Linked DNA regions of Rattus norvegicus. The protein of the gene in region 2 interacts with the protein of the main gene of each other region in a pairwise test. Links are inferred from orthologs where the notes say so. Each region holds a gene or a part of one and is shown on either strand. Other genes may lie near its edges. The genes, in order: Mapk8ip3, Ldlrap1 and Psd4.

Region 1 (3,650 bases), on a different chromosome or scaffold from region 2:
AGTTCTCTCACCAGATGCTTTCCTCCTCATGATATACTGTGTTACTACAAGCTCAAAGACTAAAGCCCTGAAACTCCTAGTCTTGTGAATCAAAACCAACCCGCCTCCTCCTGATCACTATTGTTTATATTTATTTAGGTTTTTTTGAGACAGGGTTTCTCTGTATAGTCTTGAACTCACAGAGACTGCCTGCCTCTGCCTCCCGAGTGCTCTGACTAAAGGCTCGAGTCACTTCTGTCTTGATGATTTAAGGAAGCTGACTGATATACCTGTCCAATGATTAATGACCCTGCCATGTGTGTACAGACATGACGGGGATATGATGATACCTCTCCACTCCCCACCCCACCAAGCACACTGAATCCCTCATCTAGAGCCTGTCTGAATGAGCACCTGCTTCCTGTGCGGTCCAGACGGGTTTCCGGACACACATCCAGCTCTGGGGTGGAGTCGATAATGTCCTGAACATCGGACCACTCGTCACTGCTACCCATACCTAGTACAGACACAGGAACCTTGTGTGAGCAGACAGCCTGAAAACTTCTGCCCCACATCTACAGAATTTACACTCACTTCTTCTAGACATGACTGTGAAAAAAGGGTTCTCCCCAACTGCCCAGGTGAATGGAAACTCTCAGAGTCTAGGGAGGAAAGCCTGTAACAAACAGGTGTGCACTGCTGAGGGGAGCTCTCACTCCTGGCCTGGCCAGTGTAAGTTTCAAAACTGGGTGTCTCCCTCTCTCTGAATCTCATGCACCCTAGGCTAGTCTTGAACTCCTAATTCTCCTGCCTCTACCTCCCAAGAGCTGGGAATTACAGATGTATACCGCCTTGACCAGCTTGGAGTCTGGTCTTTAAGGAAGTGATCAAATAAAACGAGGTCACGTGGCTCATCTCACTCAACTGGGGTCCTTATGAGATTAGAACACAGACATACTGTGAGGACGCAGGGAGTTTGTCCTCTGTAAGCCCAGCAAGAAAGACCTCAGGAGAGACTGCCTGCACCTTGGTCCTTGTCCTCCTAACGTTGGACAGCTATTTAAACTGCCTACCTGTGGTACTTGCCATAGAAGTCTTAGTTATTCTATCTGTTCAAGCTAAACCCAAAAAGGAAGAAACACCTCTCAGGTGTGGACAAGAGAGGCAGTGAGCAGCGGGTACATGGCCTCTCACCAGGGATGGGATGGCAGGTGGGGCACTGGACAGACTACACACCAATACTGACGTTCCGCATCTCTTGGGTGACCTGGACCTCCATGTTACGGCTGTTGCGCTTCTCTCGGGCCCGTTTGTTGTTCTTTGTGACACTGCCATAGTCCCCCAGGGGCTGTAGGCTCTCGTTGAGTGGTGTGACAGCTGCTGAGGGCACGGAGGATGTGGGTGTGTTGGATTTGGTACCTGTGGTACTGGGTGTTGCAGCTGCTGAGGACTGGCCTGACTCAGACATCTCATCGTTTGGACACTAGAGCCAAACAGAGAAAGAAGGAAGAACATCACAGTAAGCCATGGTGCCATGGTTAGAGACATTGCTGAGGCCCCATGGCTCTGTTTCTCTGCTACACGGTTACAAACAAACAACACTGTGCCCACCTGTAGAGGCAGGAATCTCCTTTGGGCCTAGTTACTCCTGAACAATGATGAGTGGGATTTTCAGCTTATATCTGTCTTAGGATAGCCCAGCACAATCATGACTGATGTGATGCTACACAGAGGACATGGTAGAGGACACAGTGGGTGACCTTTGCAGTTGTGGGCAGACTAGCATGGGGCAAAGGGCTCTACCCAGGGATAAGGAAGCTGCTACCTGGCACTGGGTAGCCAGGTGTGCCATACACTAAACACTTTACTACTACTCCCTCTTAACCACTTCTAGCACACAAATGCTTGGCCCTGGCTGAGGAGAGTGGTAGAGAGGGACAGTGTTTCTGATTCTATGGCTGGGACCTCCTATGATCCTGAATGCTTTTTTCACACATCAGCTGAACCAAAATTTAGCCCTGAACAGCAATGCAAATTATGCTTTAATAAAATGGGAACTGTTGGGGTTGGGGATTTAGCTCAGTGGTAGAGCGCTTGCCTAGCAAGCGCAAGGCCCTGGGTTCGGTCCCCAGCTCCGAAAAAAAGAAAAAAGAAAAAAAAAAAAAATGGGAACTGTTCTGGAGGAAACTCAGGCTCATAGAGAAGCCAGCTGCTAACCTTATAAATCTTGTGACAGGAAAACCAGCACTCAACTGAAGGGTATAAAACAAGAAGCACACATTTCATTCTTGGCTCTTTCCTGATAAAACTTTAGGCAGTCACAATGAAAACTGCCCCAAACGCTCCTCTATTAATTATTATTGACAGTTGTGTACGACATGTGACTGAGTAGGTGCCCTGGTTACTCCAGGCAACAGCTGCCCTTCAAATCCCTTTGCTTGTTGTGAAGGCCAAGGAGAACAACTAAACATCGCAGGTATGTACTGTCCTGGGTCTTCCAGAGAGAGGGCAGCCTTCAGAACAGTGTTCTGTTGGTGAGGATGTTCACCAGGATACAGTGAGGAAAAAGGAGTACATGGCTCTGTGCAGAGCTGGGTAAATGCCGAGATATGAACTCAACAGTTTGTCCCTGGCTTTCAGAGGTCGGAGCTGGTTCTGGGGATGCCTTTGCTCAACTCACTGGACCACTGCCAGGCAGTAGTACTAGTCCCTCAGTACTGAAGACTGTCATGTCTTCAAAGGACGAGGTTCTGTCTTTATCTACCACACTGCTTTATTTCTAAATAAACAACTGTGCACGGGATGCTTGGCAAAGGACAACTCTCTTGTCAGAATTGATGGTGTTCCCGGCATCAAGTGAGTGGAGCTCAAGATGCTGTTCTGTAACTTACAGTGGCCACAATGGCCCATAGCCAACACAATTCAGTCCTAGCTAGCAATGCAGAGGCAAGAATCCTTACACCAGCATGCAGTCCAGTCATCTTGGAAACGACTCTGTAACAAAATTGTAGCTCTGTATCTGGATCCAGCTTCTGCCCAGTATGACAAGGGAGAAACATTTTTTTCTTCATATCCTTGTGAGTGCCAAAAGAGGCAAGCATGGCTTACATGGAGCTTTTGAGATGTAGCTCTCAAAAGACTTGTGTTTGCTTCTCTTTGGAGTTATCCAGGTACCTTCCAGATGTAGACGTCTGCTGCTGCCACCCAGTAAAGGGCACAAAAGAAATTCCAAGCAGGCCAGGAAGAAGCCAGGGGTATGAGTCCCACTATTTCACACCTCCTTCCTTCAGTGTCCATGGTCTGCTGCCTATCGTGACCCTTTGGTAAAAATGGGGGCATTCTGCCCTCTGGCTGTGCCTCCCCCAGTGCCCCGGCTCTGTTATCCTACAGGGCCACACTTACCCAGGGGATACACCCCCTGGCCACCACTTACCTAGGGCAAACCTCTCAACCTCCTAAACCATCAACGGGGAGCAGTGACCTCCAAATGTATTGCAAAGAACCCACACTCTTAGCGGTCATTCCTCACCATGAGTAGCCACAACTGTTTGGTTAAAACACTACAGTATATAGAAACAAAAAACAAAACAAAAAACAAACAAAAATTAAGAAATTAGAAAAACCTTAAAATATGGAACATGAAATAAAAAGAACTTAATGTATAATTACTT
Region 2 (3,398 bases):
GACATCCGGCGGCTAAAGGCGTTGGCCAAATTTAAACCGAAAGATGAGCTTGTTGAATGTCTTTTCAAATTATGGGGGAAGAAAAGGAAGAGTTCTGTAGTCTGCTCTGGTCCATGGAGCCTTGTAGGAAATCTGCTCATCGGCTGCCATCCGGAGGCCCCACCTCTGCACACTTGAAGTAAGCCTATTGAACGGCATGAAGGCATCAATGCCTGAGACCCCCCCACAAGCCACAGGAAGAAGTGGCTGGGGGAGTCCCCAGACAGAAGCCTGTGGAACGTGAGGAATGTGGCCTTGCTCAATGGTCACTGAGAGTCTGGGTAGGACATGAGCGCCTGGATCACGGCCATCTCTTGGGAAATCCCTACATAGCAGGGTGAGGGTTGGAGATCTAAGATGGGGCGGGGGCGGTGGCCTTACCAGGCACTCGGGGGAGGACTGCTCTCCCCATGTGAGCATGATGCCCCAGGCAGTAGGTATCAGATGACATCTGTAAGTCAGCTGGCACACAGAAGTACACTCAGAGTGGCAGGCACTGTCCAGGAGTCCACTAGGACTTTACACATTCGATCTAAATGACCTTTTGGTCTGAGAAAACCTTTGAGCCACTGGATAGGTACTGCCAATCATGTGTTAAAGGGCAATGGTCTCATAAAACCCCAGGAACATAGGCACAGGAGACTGCTGTACCCTGTTTACAGACAGGAAAACTGAGGCTCAAGGAAATAGGTAACTGACCCATAGCAGTAGCTGGACTTTGGATGTCTTAAGTCACAGGACTCCACCCACCCATTCCTTTGCCTCTGTCCCCCTTCAACACAAAGCCACACAACTTGAATTCAAATTCCTAGCACGGAGCCCTGGTCCAAACTTGAGTAGCAGAGTAAACCTAAAAGTCTGAGTCACTGGAGAGGCATGGGGATACCACCAGCCCTGGGAAGGGGTACACATGGGCACACTCACTCTCACACTCGTGTCTCAGGGGTTCAGGCCTGACTAGAACACACAGTTAGAAACAGTGAGCGCTTATGTGCTGGCCCACTGGCGGGGTCTCACATCACCCAACAGCGACCTTGTCACAATGGCAGTCTACAGAGAAAGAAAGGTACCCTGCTGGCCCACCAACTGGGGACCTGCCATCACCCTCCATTCTGGTGCAGCAGCCTACCCCAGTCTCTTGACATAACTGCTGCCCCCATCACGGAGGGCAGAAGCCATGACGACCCTGCCCTTTGTCACCCGCAGCACCCCAGGCGGTGCTCACACTTAGAAAGAGAACATTTATTGTTTCCTACTCAGAAGCCCCAGCCTCACACAGCAGCACCGGCAGCAAGCACAGTAGCCCCCCTTGCGCCCGGACCCCCGCCGCCTGGGCTGGGAGCAGGCCCCGGAGCTGGCCGGAAAGGGAGCTAGCAACCTTTATTCTAGCCGGAATTCTCCAAGTGCCCTCCCCAAGGCACGGGTTTGACTCAGCCACTCAGGAAGAGTGTGTTTTTCCCGGGGATACTGAGACCTGCTTTCACAAGCCCGGCCGGCCACTGGGGGCTCCTTGGGATGGAAAGATGGTTGTGATTTGGCTGTGGTTCAGGATGCCAGAGCCTGCGTAACAGCGAAGGGAGAAAAGAGAGACTAAGGGAAGCTCACCACTGGACCTCCCAACCACCACCAGCTAGGGCTGAGGGACCTCTAAGGCTGCAGGTCAGGAAAGGACAGCGAGGTGTTTCTAGAGCAGGATTCTGTTTCACCCAGGGAATTAACAGACTTCCAAACACATCTGCACAGAAGTCAGCCACGTAGCAGCTAGCAGGGCATGGCGGCCTGCGCCAGCGCTGTGTGGAAAGGCACCAGACGGTTTGTTATGAAACACATTTTGGTCAGAAAATAGCTGGGGCGTTCTGGTTCCTGGGAGGACAACAAAGCCGGAGAGAAAGAGGCGTGGGCTGCAAGGCGGCAGCACAGACGGCAGCTTTGGTATCAGATCTGGGTTCTATTCTCAACTCCACCGCCCCCCACCCCAACGTGTTGCCTCAGTTTCTTTATCTGTAAAATGGATGCAAAATATCCTGCCACAACCTAGTACCAGGCTTCGGTATCGTCCCAGGAGTTATGGGGAGGCAGAAAACGGAGCACGCACAGGGACATACAGACAAGACAGAAGAGCAGGCCCAGCTTTGTCTGTTTTGGGGGCTCCCAGGAGCCACAAAGGAGATCCCTATGGTTGCAGTGACTCTGGAGTCGTAGTCAGCTGGTACACTAGGTCCTAGCACTATGTGGACCATGTCAGGGACTGGGGCCCTCTTGTGGAGGGAGGGCAGGAAGCAAACTCTACTCCTAGAGCACCATCACGGACCTCGAACCACGTCCATTACGTCCATTACGTGAGAGTTAAAGTGCAGATTAAATGTCTTTGGTCAGGGGCTGCCTCTTTGAAAGCCTCAGCTTCTCAGCCCTGAGGAAGCCGAGCTTGAGGACCCCGACTTTCCTGAAAGCCATGTCCCATCCAGCACACAAAGAACGACAGGCTCCTACTGCTTCAGGAGTAAGGATGCCCCAGAGAAGAGGAACAAGCAACACTTTGGTCATTGTCTGGACACCCACAGCGGGGATACTGGCTCCAGGAGAGAGGCCAGGAGGCCAGCCCTGCCCTGCACACACCATGAGCACCTGAATTGAACCTGGTTTCCGAGCATAAACCAGGAGTCATCAACCAGATACCCCAGGCATCTTTCTAACCCCTCTCCCTGCGTGACTGTGCAACTCAAATCTGCAGGCTCTGACGCCACTGGCCAAAGGCAGCTGATGGCTCCTGGGGCTGGTTGTCCTGCTGCAGGTGGCTGGTGGTCCACCACATGGCTAGGCCAGCCGTGTACTGCCAGCCTCAGGCCCTCAGAAGCTGAAGACGTCGTCTTGATCAAAGCCACTGCTGTCAGGCTTGTCCCAGTCAGTGGGCGATAAGCACTGTGCGTAATGGATATCCTGTGCTGTCAGTCCAGTGTCCAGGACTTGAGGGTTTGTCCGTGACTGCGCCAGCCTGGAAGGCAAAGCTGCGTAAGCCAAGCATCAGGTGAGGGGCTAGCAGGGGCTAAGGACAGGGGTAGCCTGGACAGCACTGGGCCCGAAGGGAGGCCATGAGTCGGGAAATGGCTGGACTCAAAGATTAGCCAAGGAGGTAAAGCCCCTGACAACAGGATGCGCAAGAGAGTCAGAGCACTGGGGCAGGCCACAGAACCCTGCTCTAACAGAGCCCAGGTATCTACCAAGCAGTTGTAGGCAGAGAATGTTCAGCCATGAGAAGACTTGGCGAGAACACAAGGAGACATTACTGATTTGTTTGTTCCATCTGCCTTACTGTCCAGTGGAACCTGGAGAGGTCAGTGGTGAGGTAGCTCTGTCCTCAG
Region 3 (3,650 bases), on a different chromosome or scaffold from region 2:
CCTGCCTGTCTCACATAACTTGTGACAAACCCTGATTGATATCAAGGCTCCTATGTCATTGTTCTAACAAGGGCCTGATCTACTGACCCTGTACAACAGGAAAATGAAGGATCCTGAGCTAAAAGAAACAAGATGTTGAAATCTCTCAAAAGAGTGGACAGGACTCCTAAAATAGACAGCTCTCTGGTGTGACAAAGGTCAGCTTAGGTTACTCTGTGACATTTGGGGATGCCTAGGAGGTAGGAGAGAAGATCCCAGAATCTCTTGGAATACCATGAAGGGAGAGGTTGCTTGTTCTCCGAGCCAGTCTATCTAGCTCCTTGAAGCTGGTGACAGAGAGATTACTGGCCTCACTTGCATCTGAGTTCTAAATGACATTATTGTACTGATAAAATGTCCCATTATTCTGAAGTCTATATTAATCAATCTTTGTGTGTGAGAGTATATATGTGTATGTGTGTATCAGTGTATGCATGTGTGAAAATATATGTTTATCTGTGTGTGTAATTATATATGTGTATCTGTGTATGAGAATATTATGTGTCTCTGTGTGTGTGCCTGTATATATGTTCATGCCTCCCTCCCCCCCTCTCTCTGCGTGTGTGTGTGTGTGTGTGTGTGTGTGTGTTGCTTTTATGTGAGCATGTTGAACATGTAGAAGACAGAGGTTATGGCCTCCTCTGTTGCTCTCCACCTTTTTTTCAGGTGGAGTATCTCTTACTAAACCTGGGGCTTGCTACTTTGGCTAGACTGGATGGCCATTGAGCTCCTGGGATCCCCAGCTCCACTCTCTTATCTACAGTGTTGGGTTTCAGGCTGTACATTGACAAACCCAGCTTTTATTTGGGTTCCAGGGATTCAAACTCAGGTCCCCAAGCTGGCGCGCGCGCGCGCGCACACACACACACACACACACACACACACATACACACACAGGTCAGTTTGCTGTTCTATTAGCTCAGATCTCCCAAAACGCTACGTTCTAAACAGTGTCCTGTGCCTCCCGAGGAGGCCCTCCCTGTCATGTCCCCACACAGCCCTCAGCTGGCTTCCTCAGCTAACTTACCTCACCCACCTGATCAGGAGGTACTATGGGAGCTCCTTCAGTGGATCCTAAGGCCAAGCAGGGGTGCATCTTATAGGAAGGCACAGGGAATGGAGGGGTGGAGCACCTACTATGGTCAGCAGTGTTGCTCCCCAAATCCAGATCATTTTCTTGCGTCCAGAGCCCTGTGCCTTCTTGGAGAGGAGAATCCAGGGTTTGAGGCCTATGAGGCCAGGTCTTCATATCTAGGTGGGAATTCGGGTAGCCCCAGGAAAAGCATTCTCCTTCAGTGCTGGTGTCTGAGCAAGGGCTTTCCAGGAAGAGGGGATTATCAAAGAAGATGCTGTCCTCCTCAGCACCCCACTCTGGGGAGGAGCCTGGCATTTTCTTCTTTGGCCAGGTCTGGTTCTCTTCCTCAGACCCACTGCTGTCATCCCCAGAGTCTTCATCCTCCTTGGGCCGACTGGGTTTCAGGCCCACATCACCAAGGAAGTCCTTAGAGGGCGGTGGAATACAGCATCTGAGTCCTGCTTTGAGTCCCTCTGTTTTCTCTAGCTCCTCCTCCAGGTCCAGGACACACATCTGGGCCTGCAGGATGCCAGCCCAGAATACCACCTGGGTGGATGAGCTCCGGTTCTGCTGTGGACTCCCCAGAGAGCTGTTGTCCTCTAGTGACCTCGATGATGCTGGGGCCTGGCTGGCCTCCCCATGCACCAGGCGGTTTCCCAGGTGACTGGGTTCCACATCAGAGTCGCCATGATGAGCATCAGGCCTGGCAGATTCAGGGGGGTCAAATGGCCAAGTATGTTCCTGGCAAGGTTCAGAAGGGCCCGGATGGCCATGCACTTCACTTGGATATGCTTCTGGATGGGGCTGTAGGTTGTCTTCCAAGCAAATATTGAGAAATTCCATGGGTCTGAGGTGGTCCCCCATCATCCACAGAGTGACAGTTGAGCAGAAGCCCTTGGTAGCACCTGTTTTCACAATCCCATTTCATGAATTATTAGGTCCACAAGCCAAGGTAGGAACTGGAAATCCACATCTAGCCTGTAAATGCACAAAGTGAGTGCATAGGAGATGGACCATAATCCACTCAAGTCCTATGTCCAAAGTGCTAGACACATTCAGAACCCACACCTGGGACATCTACTAAGGGACATTACTACCCTGTGAGTCCTGCTATGAGGAAGGGTGTAGCACACATGTCATGTGGCCTTACAACCTCAAATTGGAATCAGTATGCACTTGTTCCAAAGACACCCAGCAGCTGGCCAAAGGGTTCCAATGTGGCTCAGCATAAAAAGAATGCATGGATATCAGGCCTTTCTCTTGGGATTAAGAGAATGGAGAGACAGAAGTAGGTGTAGCGGGAACAGCTAGAGTACCTAAGGGCACCATGAGAGCAGCAGAACTGGGAAGACATATAAGCCAGAGTGTGAAGACTCAGACACAGGCTATAGAGGCAAGGAGAAAGGAGCAAGCTCACAGGAGCAGCAGGCACCAGGAGAGCAAGGCCACAGCCTGCCTTCTCCCTCAGAGTATGGGTCCTGTTTGCAGGCCTGCACAGTTCACAAGGCCAGCTCATTAAGTGGCTTCCTTATGTGCTATGCACAGTGGTGCAATGTAAGGCAGAAGCCCTACAATGTTCCCCACTCCCTCGGCCTTGTGAAGGACAAGCTCTAGCCCTCTGCTCCACCAAGAAGCATAGTGCTTGTTTCATGAAGTGGAAAGTCTTGACTTCCAGAGAGGGCGAGACCAGAAAGAAAGCAGTAGCCACGTGTACCCGAGGCTTCGAATGCGAAGAAACTTTCTGGTAAATCATTCCCTGTGGTAGTGGAGGTGGGCCCTCCTCAGATGTAGCCAAGGAACATGTAGGGATATTGCTGAGAAGCAGGACTCTCCACCATCTGTGTGAAACACAAGCTTATAGGGCTGCCAGAATGGCCCTGATTCCTCTTAGTGACTGGTTTGTTTTAATCTACTGGATGTTGACATTCAGGATGAACCCTGTTTCCCTCTTGCGCCAGCCCCAGGAAGTACAGAGGTACAAGGATGTATGACATACATGCCTTTCCAGCATTAAACACACCCTGGTTCCATCAAATATTTCCTTACATCTCACTTTCTTCTACTATAATTTTGTCTTGAAGACTGTAGGCGTGCCTGAAAGTTCCAGACACATGTGGGGACAGCGCGTGTGAACATGTGAGCTGAGCTCCCAATCCACAGCTCGAGTTGAATCTCATACAGACAAGAATGACAGATCCACCTATGCCCAAGTAGCTCCTCTTCACTAGCACACACACGTCCTGGCACTGGAAGATGACTGTGCACTTCTTGCCTTTCTGTCACACAGACAAGGAAACCAGAGCCCAAGCCTTAAGGACTCAGAGCTGGAAAGAGAAGCCCAGGTCTGACTTTAGACCCCCTACCTTTTAATGCACAACTTCTGCAGCCTTCTCTGCTGAGGGAACTTCCCCTGTGCTGCAGGGGATGCTGCTCAGCTGGTCTCCCTTAGCACCCCCCTCTTTGGAGCCTCTCCCAGGCCCGACTTCACACTGGGTTCCTATTCTCTGGGCAGGTGGTAAAGTGGATGAGATGGCTG

The links.
Region 1: the proteins of Ldlrap1 (region 2) and Mapk8ip3 interact in binary tests that used the Homo sapiens proteins (3 or more experiments, as listed by UniProt). The two-hybrid records come from large-scale screens. The link is inferred for Rattus norvegicus from reciprocal best matches to the Homo sapiens genes LDLRAP1 and MAPK8IP3.
Region 3: the proteins of Ldlrap1 (region 2) and Psd4 interact in binary tests that used the Homo sapiens proteins (3 or more experiments, as listed by UniProt). The two-hybrid records come from large-scale screens. The link is inferred for Rattus norvegicus from reciprocal best matches to the Homo sapiens genes LDLRAP1 and PSD4.

What each region holds. Positions count from the first base shown.
Region 1 is NC_086028.1:14,438,677-14,442,326, forward strand, and holds part of Mapk8ip3 (C-Jun-amino-terminal kinase-interacting protein 3), read right to left. Parts: intron 3,540-3,650; exon of another isoform or gene 3,413-3,539; intron 3,407-3,412; exon of another isoform or gene 3,081-3,406; coding exon of another isoform or gene 2,940-3,080; intron 1,463-2,939; coding exon 1,216-1,462; intron 497-1,215; coding exon 394-496; intron 1-393.
Region 2 is NC_086023.1:152,238,707-152,242,104, forward strand, and holds the end of Ldlrap1 (low density lipoprotein receptor adapter protein 1), read right to left. Parts: intron 3,032-3,398; coding exon 2,887-3,031; 3' UTR 590-2,886; downstream 1-589. UniProt on the Homo sapiens protein: Adapter protein (clathrin-associated sorting protein (CLASP)) required for efficient endocytosis of the LDL receptor (LDLR) in polarized cells such as hepatocytes and lymphocytes, but not in non-polarized cells (fibroblasts).
Region 3 is NC_086021.1:27,555,809-27,559,458, reverse strand, and holds part of Psd4 (PH and SEC7 domain-containing protein 4), read right to left. Parts: intron 2,093-3,650; exon of another isoform or gene 2,074-2,092; 5' UTR 1,982-2,073; coding exon 1,067-1,981; intron 1-1,066. UniProt on the Homo sapiens protein: Guanine nucleotide exchange factor for ARF6 and ARL14/ARF7. Through ARL14 activation, controls the movement of MHC class II-containing vesicles along the actin cytoskeleton in dendritic cells. Involved in membrane recycling.